2 linked regions of the Nothobranchius furzeri genome follow. Each later gene encodes a partner of the first gene's protein in a complex. Links are inferred from orthologs where the notes say so. Each region holds a gene or a part of one and is shown on either strand. Other genes may lie near its edges.

Region 1 (4,133 bases):
CTGAAGATGTCCTCAGGGACCTGCTGGTTTGAGGTCTGTCCATCAACAGGCTGCTGTGAGGTGGATGGGTCTCCTTTTTCTTGAACAAACTTAGAAATCTGGCCAAAAAAGAGAAATGTAATAGGAAAAATAAATATTTTACACTTTTTACGTAACGGGGGTTTAGTTTAAGAAAATGGGAGACGTTTCCCAAAAATCTACCAAATGTTTCATTTTATACACTAATTATTTCCTAAATACATCTCTAGAATAAAACATTCAACACAGTGACATTTTCATTCAGTTCTATTTTGAACTTCTGCAAACCCCTGTAAATTCAAATATCATCCATCCATTTTCTTTTGCGTATCCAGGGTCATGTCACGGAGGCAGCAGCCTAAGCAGGGAGGTTCAGACTTCCCTCTCCCCAGCCACTTGGGCCAGCTCCTCCAGGGGAATCCCATGGCATTCCCTGGCAAACTGAGAGACATAGTCCCTCAAGCATGTCCTGGGTCTTCCTTCAGGTCTCCTCCTAGTTGGACATGCCCGGAAAACCTCACCAGGGAGGCATCCAGGAGCTGGAGATCACGTTCTGATGAAGCCAACAGGACAACATCAACTGCAAAAAGCAGATATCTGATCCTTAGAACACCAAAATGGATTCCCTTATAACCTTGGCTACACCTACAAATCCTGTTCATAAAAGTTATGAGCAGAATCGCTGACAAAGGGCAGCCTTGGTGGTGCCCAACTCTCACCGGAAACGATCAAACTTATGGGCTATTCCCATCTGTATCGGGTCGGCCCGGGCCGGGTAGCCCCAGTTGGTCCCAGCCTGGCCCGGTTGATTTCAAACATCCTTGTCTTAAGCCCATGTGGGCTGATTCTACCCACCAATCAGAGGCTTGCTCTAATGGAAGGTGTGAATTTGCTGTCAGCAGTGGGTGTGTTGGCCCTGGTCGGCCTGAAGCAGACCCCCTCGAGAAGAGGGCTGAGAATGAGCCTTGGTTGGCCCGGAAAAATACCAGGCCACCCAGATATGTAAACAACCTACGCTACCCGGCCCGGGCCAACCCGGTACAGATGGGAATGGCCCATCTCTGTCTGCAATGTGGACCAAGCTCTGACACCAGTCATACAGGGACCTGACAGCCTGTATCACAAGGCCTGGTACCCATACTCCCAAAGTACCCCCCACAGGGCCCCCTGAGGGACAAAATCAAAAGCCTTCACCAAATTCACATTCACAAAGCACTGGTTTGGTAGACTGGTTGGGCGAATTCCTGCGCACCCTCCAGAACCTCCCTAAAGAACTGGTCCAGTGTTCCACGGCCAGGACAAAAACCACATTGCTTATCCTGAATCTGAGGTTCGACAATCCACCGGACCCTCCTTTCCAGAACCCCTGAAATAGACCTTACCAGGGAGGCTCATGAGTGTGATCACCCTGTAGTTGGAAAACGCCCTGCGGTCCCCCTTTTTAAACAGGGGGACCACCACCCCAGTCTGTGAATCCAGTGGAACTGCTCCCGAAGTCCACGAGATATTACAGAGCTGCGTCAACCAACAAATCCCCACAACATCCAGATCCTTAAGGAGTATGACATACTGCTGATTTGCTGTGGACAACTTCAGTAATAAGCTCAGGGTCTGCTCCATCTGCAGAGCGAAGACGACATTCACGGATCACGTTATCCTGCAGGAGACGCTGAATCACATCAGGGAAGGTGCTCTCTACAAAATACCTAGAAGAGGGAAAACACAAGTGAATAAAACCGCTGAAGAAATAAATGTTTTTGCAGAGAGAGACGAAAGACCTTTACCTATTGTGTTTGAGCACAAGCTTAACTTTCCCATAGCTCACAGTGCAAAGCTGAAAGAGGCAGAAAAATACAACAGATGAGCAAAAAAATAAACTGTTACTATAGGATCACATCCTGTCTATCTCTGACCTCAATGAACTTGATGATTCCATCAGGTACAGATGTTTTACTGAGCTTCTGCAGGTACTCTATAATATCAGTGGTCTGCAGCCCCACACTGACTGCTGCATATAAGGAGTATGCAGTCAGCTTGTACTCATGGATGTGGTTAGGCCTGCACACTGGCTCTGCAATAGCCACTAAGAAATCCTGGGCATACTTATATACTGGTGAGAACGCTTCCAGAAAGATGTGTCCATCTGGAGCCTGTAGAGAAGTGAGAACAAGATTTCACCTCTAAGAGATTACTGAGGTACAGCTGTGACTATAAGCAGCAATGACGCATCATACCACCCAGAGAGGACGGGAGTTGTGGTCATTCTTCAACTGCATCTGTGCGCGGTAGTCTTTGGCTCCATATTCATCCAGTTTTGTGCCAGATTCATCCACCTGCTTCCCTGCAGCAGCAGGTACAGCTTCCTGAGACTCCCCGACTGTCACCTCTTCATCGTCATCTTCCTCATAGTAGCGTCTTTTGAACTTCTTCTCTATAGCAGATCCACAAAACAATCATTAACATTACTAAAACATTTTAAAAATCAGTAGTTATGTTAAGATGCCATGGAATCAAAACTACATTTTGCTCAGACGTATTTGCGCTAGTATATTGCAGGTTAGCGTTCGGTGACTAGCTCCACGCAGATTAAAATGAAACGTTACCAACTTACCTCGATCTCCTTTATCTTTTTTACCCATTTTGAAAGGTTTACATGGGTAAAGTCTTAAAAATAGTCCCAAATGTATTTAGGTAAACACACAATACGTGTCTTTAAATGATATGAAGGAATAAACGATGTCTAGACTGTGCACTAAAGTGGAGCTCTGAATAACAAGCGTTTCCGTTCAAAAACTTTCAAAATAAAAGTTTTTATATTTCCGTTTTTGCCACAGAGACAGTGTACAGTTGATTATTACTTATATTTACGATAGTTTAATACAATTTACGAAGCTTTAAAACTACTTATTCAAAAATGTGTTTATTAAAATCTTAATTAAAAATAAATCACAATAGCAGGTGCATTTGTTTTGGCAGAACACTTTGAAGACTTCCGCTGCTGCTCTATTGTTTACTTCCTAGGTTAAAAGCCATAGAGTAAATACAGGTTTTGTTTAATATCCCCTGAAAATACGTAACGAAATTGTTAGCAAAGATGTCCTCTGATAAAATTATAGGACCTGCTTTGCCTCCGATATTTGGAAATGAGAGCTCTGAGGACGACGTTGACGAAAAAGATTGTAAGATACGTTTTGTTAGAAGCTAACGTGTTGTGGCAATTGATCTTTTCGGGTTGCTCTGTTCACTTTTAGCTAACAGTTTTATTTATGTCGCCGTCTAGTTGCTGGTCCTGCTTTACCTCCTGGGTATAAACGGGGTGAACAGTCTAGCTCCTCAGATGAAAGTGAACCAGAGGTGGCAGCTAAGCGAGCCAAGACTGGGAGAGCTGCAGAGTGAGTTCTGGTTCTGGTCTCATTTGTTAGTTAAAAGAAATAGAACGAACTTGACTAACATGTGTTTCTGAACAGGGATGATGATGGGTTCTTTGGACCAGCTCTGCCTCCAGGATATAAAAAGCAACATTCACCAGAAAGGTGAGCAGAAACATCAATATTCTCTAGTAACATAAATAGCACGTGTAAGGACACTTCCTGTTTAGGATAACAGTGTGACATTTGTTTGTGATGGTATTTTCTCAGGGCACCTGTGTTGGGGCCAGCTCTGCCTCCTGGGTTCTGCAGGACTGAATATGACAGTGATGATGATGATGAGGAAGAAATTGTTCCAGGACCTGCCCTTCCTCGGGGCTACTGTCCCGAACCCTCCAGCAGCGAGGGAGAGGAGGAGGACGTGATTGGACCCATGCCTGCTAAAGGACCGATTCAAGATTCTGTTGCTCATGATTTTGAGTGCAGGGCACGAAGGATGAAAGATAAGCTAACAAGAGTGGTAATTTTTCTCTAACATTTTTCTCCTCATAATAATTAAATTATAAAAGGGGGCTGTTTCTTCTTTGTGTCTTAATGTGTTCTTGTTTGTCCTCTGCGTAATTAGGATGTTCCAGAGGTGGTAACTAGAGAAACGTGGATGACAGAGCTCCCACCAGAACTGCAGCACATTGGTTTGGGTGCTCGTACTTTCAAGAAAAGGTCAGGTCCAGAGAACAAGGATCGCTC
Region 2 (4,271 bases), on another chromosome or scaffold:
CAGAGGTCACCGTGATCAACATGTTAATAATTCTTGGACAGAAATAGCTCACACTGTCGGAAAAGACGAGGACGCTGTTAAAAAATGCTGGAATGCCATGTTGTAAACAACATGAGTTTTTACTTCTATGGTGTAGTGTTGGATGCATGCCGTAGAGCTCCATGCTGCCCCCTACAGTTTGGGAGAATATTGGCTCACCGCAGAGACGAGCCGCATGAACCATAAACGCTGCGAGTTGTGAAGCGCGTTCCATCCGCGAGCCGCATCACCAAGCGGAAAGTAAATGCGTCAAGCATAAACCAAGCTTTAGTCATCGGACCGATACCGATATGTCAAAAATCACTAACATCGGCTGTTACGATATATTGTGCATCCCTGCTTTAATCGGCTACAGCCGTAGTCGGGTTTTTCTCCATATTTTAATAATGTTACACGTTATGCTTCCTGGTTGGTGATGGTGGTGGCAGCGTTGACCTCACACACACACACGATGGAAGCTCTTTAACTCACACCCACCTCACTGGTTTTATTTTTCTGTTTTGCACAACAAAATACAACATAGATCAATCTGCACCACTGCATTAGCTGTGCTGGCTCAATGTCATAAAAAACACAAAGGCTAAGATTAAACTCCTTATGCGATCTCTACATCAATCAAAATAAGGGTCCTGGATGTGCAGTGTCACTCTAAACTGTGAAGGTGTGATGAAAGGTGTTTTTTTTTTACTTTGGAAGCTAATCGTGAACCACTGGATACTTTCATCCTATTTTCAGGGCAATAGAAATCCAGACAAGACAAGCTGAAGCACCAAGTTTGCTCTGGGGTCTCAGGGGGTGCCGTGCAGCTATGTTTGGTTCTGTTTGTCTGGGACTCACTCAGGTTAACACTTGTCTGATGGTTCTGGTATGTGTCTCTTTAGGGGTACCGGTCTCAGCCTGCGTCAGGCTTACAAACTGGTTCTGGAGAGCCGGCCATTCATCCGACCCAACGCCGGGTTCTGGAGGCAGCTGATGAACTACGAGAAGCTCCTGTTTACCAGGAACACGATGCAGATGGTGAGGACATCTGCTGGGGTTTTGCCTGAAGTAATACAAGAGCCAGAGGAGACGGGTGCTGCAGTGTACTGCGTCAATGTGTGACAAGGCGCTGACGGGACAGAACCTGGTCCAACAGGAAACAACATGGAAGCAGATGTTCCTCTGTTGGTTTCATCCAGCTCTTCTGTCCATCTAGTATGGATTGGTGTCAGGAACTTGAAGGAGTAAAAACCAACATGAAACAAACAAACAAAAACAAAAAAAGGGCAGAAATTATCGCAGAGCACGGCGGGTCGGTTCTGGTCTTAGTACTGGAAGCTCCTCTTTGTCTGGATGTCGTCCAGGATTTGCTGCAGCTCCTCGTCCTCAAACCGACCCTCCACACTGGAAACAGATTCAATCCCAACTTTATTCAGACAGAAACTTCAGTTCTCTACACAGATCCTGGTCTTTGACCCGGTCCACATGTATGTGGGCTGAACTGAACCAGAACCGGTTCCATCTGTAGTGCTTTACTATGAAGCTGTGTAGAGCTAGCACGCGACCGGGTTTAAGTACAAATCCCAGAATGAATGGGAACAAGCTTGTTCCATGTTTAGAACTTCCTGTTGCTCAGAGCAGGATGCGTGTTCACAAGCTTTAAACCCAGCTGTTCAAAGAAAACACTTTCAAAAGATAAATAACAACACATTAACCCTAAAATTAACTACAGAGATAACATTCTCAGATCCTAATATAAATATGGTTACCAACATCAATTAGAGTCTCAAAAAAGTGTTTTTGCCATATTGCTTGAAATGCTCTTCACCTACTAATAAATTAAACGTTTTAGACAGAAAATGTAATCGTTTTATTCGCCTCTGAAACGGAAAATCCTGGAAACACCTAAATTATCTGGTCCTTGAGCAGATAATTCAGTGGGTCCCCAGGTGGGTTACCTGACTCACCTGGGGATCAGGGCTTTGGCCTCCTCTGCAGCTTCAGGACACAGATTGGCCAGACTAGCCAACTCAAACTTGTGCAGCTTCTTCTGCAGCAGGAGACTGGAGGAGAAATGGTGGATTTGTCACAACCAGAAGGTGGTCAGAAAATCAGTGGAAGCAAGAAAGGCGAACCTGCGCACGGCAGTAATGGTCTCCCGGTTCTTGAAGCGGCTGAAGCGGGCCGTGTAGTTGAGGGTCTTCATGAAGACCTCGGACAGCTCCTGCTCATCCTCGGCGCTCTCGTTCTGCTGCTTCCTGTGTTCCAGCAGCATGTGGACCTCGGAGTTCAGCAGGGTCTCAGCGTTCTCGAACTCTGGACCAGAAATTAAAACAGCTGATCTCTATACTACTTCCTTTTTATATTCACACACACACACACACACACACACACACACACACACACACACACACACACACACACACACACACACACACACACACACACACACACACACACACACGTTTCTGGTGTATCAAACACAGGTCTGCGGTGGCGGTAGTCGTCACCTTTGGGAAACAACAGTTGTGACGCATCTTCTTCTACGTCTCCGAGCTGCGGAGGAGCCGTGCTTCCGGCCGCCATAACGGGCCACGACTCGTTCCGGAGTTCCGTTGAGTCTCGGTACCGTGAGCTGGACACACGTGGTAAGAATTTTAAGAAGAGAACCCGCGCTGTTTCGTTCAGTCACACAAAAACACACCGGTACTTCCGCCTAGCTGCTGCTGTTTCCGCTACTTCCGCCCGTGATCTCCGTTCGCCCCCTGCTGACCGGAGGTCCAGGGTCCTGCTACGGTCAAAGACGAGACGATCAACAAAACTACTTAAAACCAATTAAATACAATTAATTAGAAAAGCAGTAATTAGGGTAGCATGAAGTTCTCCACCAGGTAGACTGTTACTCAAGCTGGGCTTTAGCTCAGATCAACTGCTTATAAATGATCATGTCACTGAGAAAAGCTTTAAAGATGGGGAAGCAGTTTTAGGAAATCCGCATTCATAATAATGAATAAATTCATAATAATAACGGTTAACAGCAAAAGAGGTTAATATGGGATCTTTCACAGATTTCAGCTTATAGGTGACATATTACCAATGATTTTCTGATAACTGTTTGATGTTTTATCTCTGTTATTCCAAATTACTATAATGAGACGTTGTCCCTTCCTCCGTAATTTAGACTGCGTATTTGCACCCTGTGCTGTTTTGCAGGATATTTCTGTAACAGAAAAGAAATTACTGCAAAATGGACTTGCGTTGGCCGGGAATCGAACCCGGGTCAACTGCTTGGAAGGCAGCTATGCTAACCACTATACCACCAACACTTGATGTTCATCACAAGAAATTCCTATTAAAACATTGACAATGTTCAATTTGGTTTACCGATTGTGTCATTTAACTGATCGTTACATCTGGTTGCATTTTTCCAGCTACTGTCCAGCTGCTCTAGACTAAATCAACTTACGGTTAGTTTCGAACGGGAAGGATGAATATGTCAACACTGAAGTCTAATGGCAGAAGTTTGCTTTCGATTCGTTATTCGGTTACTGATTTTACCTGAATGTCATAACCGTGTTCAACTGTCATCAGAGGCGGACCGAACACCGGCCTCACTTGGGTCGACGGCACAATATATACATATATATACATATATATATACACATATATACATATTACTTATTATATTCTATAGGATTATAATAAAGTAATTAATATTTTGATTTCACAGATCGGTCACATCATATTTATTGACTAACACTTTGTTGGATTAGCTTTATTAAAATAGAGTTCTTTGATTAATTAAAAGAAAATAGTCCATTCTTCATTCTTCTGTTGAGCTGAAAATAAGCAGGTTAGAAGCAAATGCATGAGACCTTGAGACCATATCTCATGCAGACTGGTCCTGTGTCAGAGGAGACGGGGAAACAGTCATTTCATTCTGTCACATAAAAATTCACTATTTAACTTTCATTCGTTTTTTTATTAATATTTAGTCTAAACAAACTAACAGCGTGTCCAGCAACATATTAATGTTACAATTAAACAATTTAATTTAAGGTAGGAACATTTTACCTGCTGCTGGCCTGTGACACAGACGCGCTCCGAGCCGTTCTCACAGCTCCTCAGGGAGCTGATAGAGAGCTGCGCTGATGATGTCCAGGTCTGAGATAATGCTCAGATGTTCTGATGGGAATCTTTTCTTGATAGATCTTCCGCAATGATCTCTGTGCGTGATGTTTAAAATGTCTACT

The links.
Region 2: ercc3 (region 1) and polr2d share a complex: the UniProt entries of both Homo sapiens proteins name them as parts of the TBP-based Pol II pre-initiation complex. The link is inferred for Nothobranchius furzeri from reciprocal best matches to the Homo sapiens genes ERCC3 and POLR2D.

What each region holds. Positions count from the first base shown.
Region 1 is NC_091749.1:40,321,580-40,325,712, forward strand, and holds the start of ercc3 (general transcription and DNA repair factor IIH helicase/translocase subunit XPB), read right to left. Parts: upstream 2,801-4,133; 5' UTR 2,658-2,800; coding exon 2,630-2,657; intron 2,450-2,629; coding exon 2,253-2,449; intron 2,169-2,252; coding exon 1,932-2,168; intron 1,853-1,931; coding exon 1,803-1,852; intron 1,725-1,802; coding exon 1,589-1,724; intron 99-1,588; coding exon 1-98. Other genes in the region: gpalpp1 (GPALPP motifs-containing protein 1), read left to right, coding at 3,113-3,197, 3,299-3,410, 3,486-3,551, 3,657-3,906, 4,012-4,133. UniProt on the Homo sapiens protein: ATP-dependent 3'-5' DNA helicase/translocase. Binds dsDNA rather than ssDNA, unzipping it in a translocase rather than classical helicase activity. Component of the general transcription and DNA repair factor IIH (TFIIH) core complex.
Region 2 is NC_091753.1:55,727,259-55,731,529, reverse strand, and holds polr2d (DNA-directed RNA polymerase II subunit RPB4), read right to left. Parts: upstream 2,784-4,271; 5' UTR 2,605-2,783; coding exon 2,529-2,604; intron 2,335-2,528; coding exon 2,154-2,334; intron 2,082-2,153; coding exon 1,986-2,081; intron 1,879-1,985; exon of another isoform or gene 1,423-1,878; coding exon 1,344-1,422; 3' UTR 1,141-1,343; coding exon of another isoform or gene 921-1,140; 3' UTR 501-920; downstream 1-500. Other genes in the region: dual specificity protein phosphatase 14, read left to right, coding at 921-1,140. UniProt on the Homo sapiens protein: Core component of RNA polymerase II (Pol II), a DNA-dependent RNA polymerase which synthesizes mRNA precursors and many functional non-coding RNAs using the four ribonucleoside triphosphates as substrates.